Linked DNA regions of Nothobranchius furzeri. The protein of the gene in region 1 purifies or fractionates together with the protein of each later gene. This does not show direct contact. Links are inferred from orthologs where the notes say so. Each region holds a gene or a part of one and is shown on either strand. Other genes may lie near its edges. The genes, in order: cnot1, capzb and cnot6a.

Region 1 (5,156 bases):
CAGATGAAACAAACCGTCGTTTTTGTGTAATTAATGACGAGTAGTCTTTTTTTTTTAGTCTAGAACATGAGATCCATCATGCTTACCTTCACTTTAAATGGAGCAGGTTGGTTTTACTTTTGAAGGATTTGCTGCTTCGTATTAAAACTGATTGTAAAGTTTAGCATGAAGTAGCCACATCCTGAGGTTTCCTCAGCATTAAAACACAATAAAGCACTTTCTCTACTAAAGCTGTTAAATATATTTTCTAACTTTCAAATCATTTCAGAATCCCAGAAAATGATATTTCTGTTTTTGTAAATGAAATTTTGCTGCTTGGTTTTTCTTTGACCTTATTTCTGATTATCTGAAACATCTTGTTCCTGTTCAAAAAGAGATCAGCCTTCTGAGACTCATATCTTTTCTGATATCTTAGAATCCCAACTTGAACTTCAAAGAGGTGACGTATGAACTGGACCACCCAGGCTTCATCATCCGGGACAGTAAAGGCCTGCACATAGTGGTGTATGGGATCCAGAGAGGGCTAGGCATGGAGGTGTTCCCTGTCGATCTCATCTATCGACCATGGAAACATGCGGAGGGACAGGTAAGTCTGTCAGATTCATATTGTGTCATTTTAAGTAGTTGGAACTGTTTGAAGACGTTGTAAACTCTTGTAAAAGTACTTTAGGAGTTTTTGTATTATTTTTGTAAACGGTGAACTTTCTTTTTCCAGCTGTCGTTCATTCAGCACTCCCTGATTAACCCAGATGGGTTCTGCTTCGCTGACTATCCTTGTCACACCGTGGCCATCGACATCCTCAAAGCACCTCCAGAAGATGACAACAGAGAGATCGCCACATGGTATGGAGGCTGTTGCTTGTCTGGGGCTGCTTCCGTGAGGTTTGATTAATTGAGCTGAAAGCAAATGTTTTTTATGTCTAGAGCTGAGGAAAATAATCAAATAATCGATGCATCGGGATGCGGACATAAACGATTCTGCGTCGTAGAAGAGTACGCCATAATCGATTATAGTGGAATGTAGTTTTGTTTTTTTAACGGCGGCACCAGCACACCATCCAGATCTGTCAGAGTGAGCGTCCTCCACATTTACCAAGTGGTTCCGCCTTAATGTGGTACTGCAGGGCTGAGCGCTTGAGTTGTAACCGGAGACCGAACCGGAACCGAATCAGCCCGACCGGTTCTGTTGGATTTGGGCCGTGAATTATGTTAATTAAGTGGGTTGTCACGCTGCTCGCTCCGCTCGCTCGCACAGCAACTGAGAGAGAGAGAGAGAGAGACATTGTCTGCTCACACACGAGAGGATCGGAGGACGCTCCTCCAAACCGATGCTCCAAACACGCATTATTATTTTCATAATTTAATTATTTCTCCTGGAAGCGCTCAGTCAAACAGAGTGTTGTGATGCTGAGAGATCCGGTCTTGGGGAGGGGGCGGGGTCAATGACGGCGGCTGCAGCGTGATTGCCTGTCTTTTATTTAGGGACACGGAGAAGTTAAAAGGAGAGAGAAATAGAAGTTCTTGTTCCACTTTATTCTTTTGTTCCACGATGATAAACTGATGTTAAATTCAGCTGAAAGAGAAACTGGGAGGAAGCTTTGGTTCATTTTAGGTTACAGGAGGTCTTGTCTCCTATCTGCTCCTCCAGAGACAGCATGGACATGAGGGTTACATGGTGAGGGTCACACAGGACAGGTTAGTGGAAAGGTTTGTAGTTAGCTGGTTAGTGAAGGCGATCCATCAGCTGGGTAATTTAATCCTAATCCAGCCCACAGCCTTCTGCTGGTGTTATTATCAGAAAGAATAAAACACACATCTTAAATATGATTGGAAGTGTAGAATTAGTTTTATGTTTTATTATTTTCTGCATCAAACAGAACTTGATTCATGCTCCAACATTTCAGAAGCGAACCACTGGGTTCAAATAAAATAACAAACAAGTCAAACATTTCATTTGGTGTTATTTCTGACACCCTTCAACTGTGGCATAAACATCTGACTCTAGAGCTGCTCAGAGACATTAAACACTCCTTTATGAACCCAGTATGTATTTTATTATTACATTGTGTGTCCTGTAGGTTTTCAGTACTTTTTTAGATTTTGTGTGTTTTTCTCAGCCTGAGGCGTGGTCTTCAACGAGGAAACAGATCGGTTTACTTTGTTAAATCTTAAGTGTTTAAAATGTTTTGTCCTAACCTGTTGTGAATGGAGAGCTTTTGAGGGATGGCAGGTTGTCAATTACGTTTTTGATAAAAAAAAATAAAAAGCAATTTTCTGACATCTTCTATTTATCGCTGAAAACAAATCAATATGAAATAATCGTGATGCTCCTGGATCTCGAATCGAATCGAATCGTTGACCCAATAATCGTAATTGAATTGGGAGACAGGTGAAGATTCGCACCTCTATTGATGTCCTTACTGAGCGATCAATAAAAAATCTGAATTAGTGTGCCCTCTGCCTGGATCGTGCGGTAAATAACGTAAATGAAAACAAGCTACCACTTAAAAAAACGCTCCGATTCATTTCTTTAACTCCTCCAGGAAAAGTCTGGACCTGGTGGAGAGTCTTCTGCGCCTCTCTGAGGTTGGGCAGTATGAACAGGTGAAGCAGCTCTTCAGCTTCCCTATCAAGCACTGTCCAGACATGTTGGTGCTGGCCCTGCTGCAGATCTCCACCTCCTGGCACACGCTGCGCCATGAGCTCATCTCCACTCTGATGCCCATCTTTCTGGGCAACCACCCCAACTCTGCTATTATTTTGCACTATGCTTGGCACGGACAGGTTGGTGTTTTCTTCTTCTTCTTTTTGTGCCTTTGAGTGTAACGCACATACCCAGAGCCTCTGCCTTACTGAGACCTGTAACATTGTGCTCTACAGGGGCAGTCTCCTTCCATTCGTCAGCTAATCATGCATTCTATGGCCGAGTGGTACATGAGAGGAGAGCAGTATGACCAGGCCAAGCTGTCTCGCATCCTGGATGTGGCCCAGGATTTGAAGGTTTGTTGGAATTTTATGAGTGAGTGAGTGAGTTAGTGAGTGAGTGAATGAGTGAGATTTTTTTTCCTCAAATCTCCATGTTGGATTGGTTAAAGTAAATGTTGTAAAGCGACCTGTAACATGTCAGGTTTTAAAATTAACAAAATTAGCTAAATCTGTTTATGCTACCTGATTTTAATGGTAACAAATTAATGAATATTTGTAATTATGTTCTTTACCAGTCCCTCTCTATGCTGCTGAATGGTACTCCATTTGCCTTCGTTATTGACCTCGCTGCACTTGCCTCTCGCCGTGAATACCTCAAACTTGATAAATGGCTGACCGATAAAATCAGAGAGCATGGGGTGAGTCTCGGCGTTAAACTAGGACCAGTTATCACCAGATGTTTGGTTTTAATTCTATCACCATGAGAATGTTTCACATTTACTTGTTTCTGATGCCACTTTCACAGGAACCCTTTATCCAGGCGTGTGTGACATTCCTGAAGAGGCGCTGCCCATCCATTATGGGGGGTCTGGCCCCTGATAAGGATCAGCCCAAAAGTGCCCAGCTGCCCCCTGAGACTTTAACCACCATGCTCACCTGCCTGAAGTCCTGTGCTGGGTGAGAACCTGACATGTCTGACGCTCGTAGACCTTTCACTGCCAGGATGATTTCACGTCTGAGTTTGATCAACGTTTTGTGAAACTCATCACATGGTCTTAACTTTAGTATCAAATCCCACCGTAGCATTAGAAAAAAATACTCTAATGAAGAGGTTAAGGTGGAGTTTATTAACATTTGAGAGGAATTTGATGGATCTTATCCCTAAAGGAACAATTGCTGTTTAAACATTTCTGTTGAAATAAGGAGCTTTGACATCAAGCCTTTTAGTAAACACAATAACCTCTTTACTCAGTCAAATGGCCACAGAGCCAATGCTATATCCTAACTATAACCTTTTTAACTTGACTATATCTTATCAGCCTTTACTACATCTGTGCTGATGTTTGGTCTCAACAAGGCCTGCCTGCTGGTTTTCAAAGATTAGAGGTGAAGGTGGAAACGTTCAGACAGATTAGTTTATTAGGGGATTAAACTCTAATGAAGGAGTTCTGATCCTGTTGATGTGAAGAAACGTGCTTCCAGCTGCTTCTATTCACCACAGACAACTACTGGTCATACATCATAGCTCTGTCTGTGAGGATTTTAATACGGTGATTGATTACGTAATTCTCTTATTTGAAAACCCTTTTTTTTAAATCCACTATTTGAAATGTTTTCTAATGGGAACTCTTGCACAATAACCGTTTATGTCTACCTTTATAAAAATATTGTTCTCTGTGTGTAGGAGTGTTTCCCAGGAGTTGTCCGAGGCGATCCTTACCATGGCTGCCAACTGTAACAACGCCATGAACAAAGCTCGGCAGCCGCCACCGGGGGTTATGCCCAAAGGACGCGCCCCCAGCACCAGCAGCTTGGATGCCATCTCACCTGTGCAGGTGAACCAAATGATTCCTTGACATAGCTAATCTGTATTTTGAATCTGGAACATCTCTCTTGCTCTTGTTTAACCATTTTCTTCATGCTGTTCCTCAGATGGACCACCTGACTGCGATTGGTTCCTTGAGCCTGGCAGGAACAGCTACGTCCCACTCTCAGAGCATGCAGAGCTTCCAGCCTTCCATAAGTTCAACTCTCAATAACCCTCTGTCCCCTGCTAAAGCCTTCCCACCGCTCCCTAACCCTAATCCCAGCACGCAGTTTGGCGGAATCAGTTCCAGCTTGCAGCTCACAGGAATGGACTCTGGTACTATGATTTATTCCTTCCTTTTACACAAACGCGTCCATGCTAACCCTAGAAGTCTCAACTCCACTGACGCTGTTTAAGTAAACATGAGAAGAATTATTTGACATAACTTATAAGCTGACATAAATGTTAGATTGTTGGATGCATACAGTAACGAGGAACATTCACATCTGAGCAGGGTCACAGGTCATAGGCTGAGCTGGGGTAAACTGAAACCTTTTGTCTTCATTGCAGGTTCTTTGGGCTCAGGTATTAGTTCTAGCAGTGGCTTTAGTCTGGGAATGCCCACAGTGAGCACGGATCCATTCGGCACCAGGAAGATCGGCACATCGGCCTTGAACCCACAAACCTTTCAGCAGAGTAAGAT
Region 2 (3,600 bases), on another chromosome or scaffold:
ACCTGAGAATCGTTTGTGGCGCCGGCGAATCTGGGAGGGGAGCGCCTGATCAAGCAGGGATTTATCAGGAGATCCCGATGATGAAAGCACATCCTGTTTACAACCTGGAACGACAACAAGAATGGCCAATCACACGTTAGTAAGTATCAGCAGAGCCAATAGATGAGCTCATGGATGGTTCTAATGAGAAACAGGCGTAAACACAAGTGGTTGTTTTCTGCTTGGTCCTAGTGGTCAACCAATGTCTATTTAATACAGCGTGATATTGTTTTTGGATGGTAAAAAGTGAAGAGGACAAAAAAATGTCATTGGAAAACATTGGGGGAGGGGGTGGGACAGGTGAATGACTGATTGTGTTGTGAAGTGCCTTGGAGGGTTGTAGAACTCTAGAAGGTATATGAGAACACATGCAGGCCATTTACTATAAATAAATAAAGATGTGTCAGAAGTGTCCTACATTTTGTTCCGATTTCAAAACACAGGTATGTTTAGTTTTTCAGTAACTGAGCATCTTTTTAAAATTTTGATTAAACAAAATCTTTTATTTGCATTTGATTTATCATTTTTAATTAATCCTCTCATGATTCATGAAGTCTGAAATTTATGACTTGCAGACCTATATTTGAATAACATTGCCTAAGCATTCTATGAAACAACCTTGATAAAGAATGCATAAAACAGCAAAACCTCTTTCTACGGTCACTGAGCAAAACTAAATTTCTGAACACGGCCAGTTTCAAATGATAATGTTCAGTTCTAATTATATAAATGTTGACAGGAAGAATTTTAATTGTAATATGGATGACAGGTTTTTATGTTGTTATTATTATTTATTTGTAGTTTCAGTTTGCAATTATAGTTTTTTTTTCAGTAGCTGTCCATCTTCCGCCCTCCCTGGCTGCATATTTGCTGCTAAGCTCATCTCTTTCCATACTTGGCAATGCCTTTCTTGCTCCGTCGCTATTGGCTGATGCAAACTAACCCCCAGTGACCCGGATGTACAAGCGGGGCCTGTTTTCTCACCGCAGCCTCCTTCCTATAGCCCGGGTTGAGGAAGTAAATTTCGCTGACAGGGCTGGGTTCAGAAAGGGAGAGGCGAACAAAACATCTTCCGCGGGGTACTAAGTATAAATAAAAACGACAAGAGACCAGAGAAGTACGTTGGCAAATCACCACAAAGCTAAGGTGTACAGTCATCGGTGATATCGATCCCCGCTGAGACCGCCGCAGACATGGTAAGGCCCTCGGAGAAGCTGGTTGGAGATGGGGTTTTAGGCTTTGGCTGCGGTTGCTTTTTCACTCAGCTGCTGGTTGGAGGAGCTGGGTGGTAATTTGAGAGGAGCACGGAGCACAAATCACTGAGTGCATCCAACTTGCGTGGCTAGCAGAACTTCTGCGTGGCGAAAAGTATTATTTAGCTTCATGGCTAAGTTGCTAGTTAGCTTCCTGCTAACAGTAGTCAATCTACTTGCCTCATAGGTAAAGTTAACACAGGATGTTTTGTATTTGACACAAGTTTGCTACAGCAGGGATCAATCCTAATTTAGCTCTCTCTCTCACACACACTCACACAGTTCATCCACCCTTTTACTCTGGCTGAAACAGCCAAGCACGGAGTGGCTCGCAGCTAAAATAAGAGCGCTTGCTCCTACTATTTCTAATCATGACAAGTTGGCTGCCTTTCTCTACATTTTCCTGGATAGGTCTGACACCCAGTCCAGCCCAGTCTCCATGTTCACATGACTTATTTTTAGTCTAATTTTATTCTCGTCAGCCTTAAAATATGGTTACCTTTGTATGTTATGTCAAATTAATCCATAAAACATCATATTGAACTAAACAAAATGACAGAATTTTTCTAACTGTTTAATCTATTGAATTGTATGAACCCCAGATATGTGTGAAAATAACAGCAAAAGTTACAAGGGTTAGAATATTAACTGTTAATGAAATTATTTAAAAATGTAATAAAACAGTTGCTGCAATATTTTTCTATGTTTAGCAACATATTTTAATGTTCTAAGTTTTCCAAACTCTCTGTAAGCCTTTTTTTAGTCTCGTGGTGACTCCAGAGAACCAAAAAGATGCTTGTTATTTATCTGAATTACTAGTTTGACAAGACTCATTCACTTAACACCGCATGAGTGCTTGTTCCATTCAAGTGATATCAAACAGGTTTTCCATAACACTGAGATAATATGAATCTCTTTTCTGCTTCAGTTAATTTGTTGCCCAAAGTTTCAGCAACTCGCGTTTGTTTCCTGACAAAAGTTCAAACACACAATACAATGCAGAGGGTGGCATTTGTTAATAGATATGATGCTTATCTCTTAAAATTCAAACGTATTTGTTTTCTACTCAAACCCTTTTACTAGCTTCATTTTACATCCAGTTTTTTAGCATTTTCTTTCCACAAGTAGGCAGCATGACTGTTTGACGTCAACAGGAACTAAACCAAGTAGAACAGCTGCCCCCGTCTTTAGTCTGTTCTCCTATGACCCCAGAAGTTGCTCGTCTGATCGGTGTTTACATGAAGACAGCAGCACTTGTAAATGCATTGTCAAGAAACACGGGTGTTTAATGAAGCAGAGTGATTCATCAGTTAGAAATTGATTTTAAAAAGTGACCTTTGTGACGGGAGATTTTATGCGAGACACTTCCTATAAACATCTGTTATGTTCTGTTTTAGCCTTAATGAAAATATTTATGCTCAGAGGGCTCTCTGCTTTGTAGCATGTCATTATTCTTGTACCAGATGGTTGATGCATTCTTATGTACTTTAGTATGTTTGCACACTTCAGGTGTGGATTACCCATGTTAGATGGTTTTGTTTACATCTGTAAGGGAAGTGAATTAATCTGGTATAACACATTTTGTTGAGATAGGGGTTTGTTTGTTTGTTTTTCTTCTGTTTCAACATACTTTATTGTTGGTTTATAGGAGCATTGGATTGGGTTTTGTGTCGTTTGTCATTCTTGTTAGCAGAGCTTACATTTATCAGCGGTTCAACTTAGTTCACAAAGACAGAGGAAGAGAAGTCTCAGAACGCTTTACTCATCTCTCTGCACACACACACAGGTGAGACACATTACCTTAAATTTCATCTGACCAACCTGTTTGGAGTCAGGAAGTCACGTAAGCACTCTTAACACCTTCAAAATAAAAGCATGACAAAAACGAGAGCGTAAAAGAAGCATATACATAGCTCAACAATTCTTTGACTTTTTTGCAAACTAAGGGCACACATAGGTGTAATCTGTTGTGTTTTAGTGTATATTTTAGCACCTTAACTATGTAAGTGCTGGAGCAATAAGATTTACATGTGATCTCTGAAGACTTTGTTTCTGTCTGTCTGGTAAAGGTTGGATGAAAACATGTGTAGACACTTCTGCAGCCTGTTATCTCACCTTAAAAATGTCACTCCTTAAAACAGTTTCCTGTTGCAACTGGTCTGCCCACTAAGGTCCTGTCTCATATGGCAGTCTAGGTTGGGCTGGCCCATCTCTGCGCAGCCAGGTTTTGTTCACACAGCCTTCTCAGGGAATTAGGGGTGTAAGAAAATATCGATATGGCAATATATCGTGGTATTTTTTCCTGTGA
Region 3 (5,156 bases), on another chromosome or scaffold:
AAAAGTAGCGCTGTAGTTTTATTAAAAGAAAAGCCGGAGTTGCGGGCAAGTTAGATTAATCCTTCCACGCATGTTGGTGGTGTTGCCGTTGTATTTAACTTTTGTTTTACACAACTTTCCTTTAATCCTGATGAGTAAATCTCATACTCAGTGGTTGATTCTGAGAAACAAGCTTCCGCCATTGCTGTGTGTTTATTTATTTATTTATTTATTTTCTGGTCCGTCTCCTGAAGTGTCCGGGCGGCACGCGTAACTTTTATATTTCTGCCGTGCTTTGTGGCTGTTTTTCAGCATTTTTTTTATAATCGTCTCTGAACTTTTACAAATCGATTATGAGTCGGCACATGTCACAACGCGATGCATCGATTAAATTGTGAATCGGAACACCCTTATAGAATATGGAAGCAAATGGAATAAAAAACGGGAGTTGTGTCGGAACTCTGTTCATCCGACCCGATGCTCATAGACTGTTATGGCAGAAGGAGGCTAATAATTTTAAGACATTTCTGAAACATAATATTCCTCTGAGGTACGTTATCTTGGTTTTTTAGGCACACAGCTTAATAGTTTTATTAATTGTTGTGAAATATGTTGCCCGTGTAAAAATAATATATTAGCAGATTTGAGTGTGTTGATACATGAGATGATTTAACATATTTTAGTACATTCCTCTGCTTATACTCATCTTCTGTTTAAATAAATAATTTTAGGTCATTAGGATTAAAAATAAAATTTTAAATATAATTTATTTGAGTTAGTTTTTAAAGTGGCCAAAATCTAGCAAAGTGATGTGATAGCCAGCAGCTGGATTATAACGCCGGCTCAGAACACTGGAGATCTAATCTGGGTGTTAGGCACACACCCACCTGTGTTTAGTCAGTTACGTAAAGAAGGTCCAGCTTCCTCTTTCCTGCAGCCGTCTCAAACCTCCGGCCGCTGTTACCGACAGCACGGCCCGTGTTTGGTGCTGAATTTCTCGTTTGCTCCTCATTAATTCAATTACACCTGAGAGCTAAATTCAGCAGCAGGCTGCTCCCCTGACAACGTCAATATGGTATCTAGTTGGGAAGCTGAGGAAGGCTTCATTAGGGAGGCGAAGCTTTTTATTTACCCCAAAATAATAAATGTGTAGACTGAGTCTTTCAAGTAGAGATGTAGAAATTTTCATTTTATTTGTCCAGAACTAGATTATCTTCTATAAAGTAACTGTAGTCACAGTTATGCCCATCACACACACACACACACGCACACACGCACACGCACACACACACACACACACACACACACACACACACACACACACACACACACACACACACACACACACACACACACACACACACACTGTTTAATTTGTCCTCCCTGTTGCTGCAGGTCGAGTGAGGAGTCTTAGCACAGCCCTGTGGTCTCTCACCCACCTCACTGCCCTTCACCTCAGTGACAACTCTCTGTCACGAATCCCGCCAGACATAGCCAAACTACACAACCTGGTGTACCTGGATCTCTCATCCAATAAGATCAGGAGCCTGCCGGCGGAGCTCGGCAACATGGTGTCTCTCAGGTCAGTGATTTCAGGTTACACAATGTAATTAGTGCTGAGCTGGAAAAGGAGCAGTCACAGGTTACCGGGAACTCTCATGAGGTGTTTTTTATTATTCTGTTGCAGATTTTCCCCTTTCAGTGTCTTTGTTTTCATTTGAAAGACTTAATGAGTCGTGTTTGTTTTTAAAGTTAAAGTCCCTAAGTCATCCTCACACACGGGTGAAGTGCATCTCTGCATTTGACTCATCCCCGTGGAGAGCAGTAAGCTGCAGCAGTGGCTGCGCTCGGGAACTCTTTGGTGGTTTAACCCCCAACCCAACCCCTTAAAGCAGGGAGGCACAAGTTTTTGGTTTGACCCCCGATCTCCCAGTCCCGGGGCAGACCTCTACCATCAGGCCACTGAGAAGTTTTTAATTGTAAACCTGGATGTAAAAACTGCAGTGAAAGTGTTGCTGTTTTCTGAAGTGTTTGTAAATAACCTGACTCCTGTTTGTCCTCGGCAGGGAATTGCTTTTAAATAACAACCAGTTGCGAGTTCTCCCCTTTGAACTGGGAAAACTGTTTCAGTTACAGACACTGGGGTTAAAAGGTGAGTGGCTTCAGTCCTCAAAGCCCATTTATTTATTTCTCTGCTGTTTTTACAGCTGATTTCTGTGTTTCTTAGGAAACCCACTTGCACAAGATATTATGAGCCTCTACCAGGAACCCGATGGCACACGGAGACTGCTCAGCTACTTGTTAGACAATCTGGCAGGAGCTATCAAGCGCAGTGAGTATCAGCCCTCTGCCGTCGTTGTAAGGCTGAACAGGAATTTCAGCTTTCCTACGCCTGGGAAGAGAAGAGGATACTGGATAGGAGAAGCGTTTAAGGGCTTTTACTGAACCGTCTTTTCCTCCACACAGTACCAACCGAGCAGCCCCCTGCCCGATCGTGGATCTCTCTTCAGGAACCCGACCGAACACGTCCGTCAAGTAAGAACACCCACCCACACACACACACACCTCCTTTCCTCTCACAGAAGTAGGTTATGTTTTAAATATATTTAATAGTTATTTAAGTTTTGGCTATAGATGCAGGAGAGGATGTTTTCTCAGCACTGTTCTGAAGCAGCTGGAAGCGATTTGCAGGCTATACGGTTAAACGCCTAAATACAAGAACGCTAGCAAACATTATTCACGGTCAGTAAAGCTAATGCAGATATTTGATTAGAAGATTTTATCGCGGCAGTAAATAATACCCAGAAGTAGTGATAGTTGTAGTAATCTGTTTTATTCTGAGTATGCAGTTCCATTTGTAAGTATTTTAAATACTAAATAAAAACAGAAAAACAAAACAAGTATAAGAATCAAAGAATGACATGGTCAATCACAAACCTGAAAAGGGATCAAAAGAAGCACAAACTTGCTCACTGCCACTTCCTCATCAGACTTAACTAACCTAAATCTTCCTCATCCTCTTCTGTTACTTTATATCTGTGTAAATGTTTGCACAATGATAATTACAATTAATAGTTTTATGTGTATGATGGTACAGGTGTTTGTGAATAGTATACATACACCCGTACCATCATGATTGCACCCGTGATATTCAGAAGCTTTTTTCTAAATATTTAGTAAAAGCTGCTTCTTTTTCACTGATCCGTCATTAAAGCAGCATTATGTAAGAGTTCCACAGTGAAATAATGTTTGTTTATTTATTTAGCAGACGCTTTCATCCAAAGCAATGTACAACTTATAACCTATAGGGCATGTTGTGATCTGTGGGGGAAACCGGAGTACCCGGAGGAAACCCACGCATGCATGGGGAGAACACGCAACTCCACGCAGAAAGGCTGTAGCCGAGTTTCGAACCTGCAACCTTCTTGCTGCAAGGCAACAGTGCTAACAACTGCACCACTAGGCAGCCCAAAACAGTTTAATGTCTCAATCACACTGAAAGGAAGGTTACAATGAAACAGATTTAATTCTCCGCTGGCTGGGGTGTTGTCAGATTTTCTCCTTTAAAAAGACAAAACAAAATGGGGACGTCACTTAGAACCTGCCGCACACGAGAGCCAACTGCTGAGCAAGGGGCCTCGAATGACCGTTCGCTCAGCAGATACCTCGCTGTGTGCGCATTTTCCACCTCACGAGACGCTGAGGTGAATATCTGACCCCCTCGGGGGGGTAAAAACTCACCGTGTGCGCACTAAGTGAGCTGCTGGCTGAGCTGAAATATTCTAGTGGCCAATCAAAGCACGTTCTCCACTCACATGACCCCAAGATGGCAGCCCCTTGTCTGCATGTCAGAAAATAAACAAAACGAAGACGTAGCTGGAAACGGAGGAAATACCTCTACTTTTTTTGTTTATGAGGCATCGCCACCACCGTCATTTCAAGGTTAGGATAGTATGTGTACGGTGGCTGTAAAGCAGGGCCAGGCAAGGAGTTTATACCAATCTACTCCAAGAGATGTGTCTTGAAGACCCAGAATGCTTCCGACAGTACCACAGCCTGGATCCTGAATCCTTTGAGGGGGTAGTGGAAACAGTGGGCCCATCGATCTGCAAGGCACTGTTTCGTTTATTTTTCTGACACTCAGACAGGGCAGGGGCCACATCTGAATACATCTTGGAATCATGTGAGCAGAGAATGCGCTTTGATTGGCCACTAGAATATTTCAGCTCAGCCAGCAGCACACGTAGTGCGCACACAGCGAGTTTTTACCCCCTGTGAGGCGGAAAATATCAAACCGGTCAGATATTCACCTCAGCGTCTCGTGAGGCTGAAAACTCTTTGAAAATCAGGCGCACACAGGGAGGTATCTGCTGAGCAAATGACCATTTGAGGCCGTTTGCTCTCGTGTGCAGCAGACTTTATTCGGTGAGTTTGTGAGGTTGCCAAGTCTGCAGTGAGCTAACCCAGCATCCCAGGCATTTGTAATTCAACACAGTGCTCCAGAGTTGTTAAAAGAACTGAATAAAGCCAGTAAACAAGTGCGACCCCTAAGAAGCTACTGCATCCTTTAGTTGTACTCTAAAGCCCTTTTCAGACAGACATTCTGGAACATTTGCGGACAATTCAATCCGGTTTTTAACCGGAACTGTGTTTTCAGACACACCACTTTTGTACCGGAACTTGTCCTTTCGGCTGCGTTCACACAGCAGGGAAAAGTTCCAGATGTCTGACGGCGGCGGGGGGTGGTGGTGGTGGGGGGGTGATCGGACTCATGTTAAGAAGAAGAAGAAGAAGAAGAAGAAAATATCATTTCTACAGCGCCTCTCAAGATAAAAATCACGAGGCGCTTAAGCATAATTCTGCGCACACGAAGACGCATAAGAGACCTGGATGATGAAGCTCAATGGTTAAAGGAATCACTGAAGCGGTGTGAAGCGCTCCCTCGCGCGTCTAGACGGTACCGTAGGAGGCGAGCTGCCGTTGATCGCCGCATGCTACAGCAGCGGGCTATCTAGGTGCGCACAGCGTCCCCCGGTCCCCTCCTCCTCCCCCTCCCTCTTGTCCGGAACTTTACCTCACCAGTCTGAATCAGCCACCCTGTCCGTAACAAGTCCGGACCTGTTACTAGGGGCTTCGTCCGGATAAATTCCGGAACACATTATCCGGATGTTTGTATT

What was found.
Region 2: the proteins of cnot1 (region 1) and capzb purify together in Homo sapiens (affinity purification with mass spectrometry; 5 studies listed by BioGRID and IntAct, with this or other methods). This does not show direct contact. The link is inferred for Nothobranchius furzeri from reciprocal best matches to the Homo sapiens genes CNOT1 and CAPZB.
Region 3: the proteins of cnot1 (region 1) and cnot6a purify together in Homo sapiens (affinity purification with mass spectrometry; 5 studies listed by BioGRID and IntAct, with this or other methods). This does not show direct contact. The link is inferred for Nothobranchius furzeri from reciprocal best matches to the Homo sapiens genes CNOT1 and CNOT6.

Annotation. Positions count from the first base shown.
Region 1 is NC_091744.1:81,580,524-81,585,679, forward strand, and holds part of cnot1 (CCR4-NOT transcription complex subunit 1), read left to right. Parts: intron 1-415; coding exon 416-586; intron 587-715; coding exon 716-843; intron 844-2,543; coding exon 2,544-2,784; intron 2,785-2,880; coding exon 2,881-3,000; intron 3,001-3,221; coding exon 3,222-3,344; intron 3,345-3,451; coding exon 3,452-3,603; intron 3,604-4,330; coding exon 4,331-4,481; intron 4,482-4,578; coding exon 4,579-4,789; intron 4,790-5,023; coding exon 5,024-5,156.
Region 2 is NC_091743.1:46,417,353-46,420,952, forward strand, and holds the start of capzb (F-actin-capping protein subunit beta), read left to right. Parts: upstream 1-1,000; 5' UTR 1,001-1,232; coding exon 1,233-1,235; intron 1,236-3,600. UniProt on the Homo sapiens protein: F-actin-capping proteins bind in a Ca(2+)-independent manner to the fast growing ends of actin filaments (barbed end) thereby blocking the exchange of subunits at these ends.
Region 3 is NC_091741.1:95,568,132-95,573,287, reverse strand, and holds part of cnot6a (CCR4-NOT transcription complex subunit 6a), read left to right. Parts: intron 1-1,374; coding exon 1,375-1,561; intron 1,562-2,045; coding exon 2,046-2,131; intron 2,132-2,206; coding exon 2,207-2,311; intron 2,312-2,445; coding exon 2,446-2,514; intron 2,515-5,156. UniProt on the Homo sapiens protein: Poly(A) nuclease with 3'-5' RNase activity.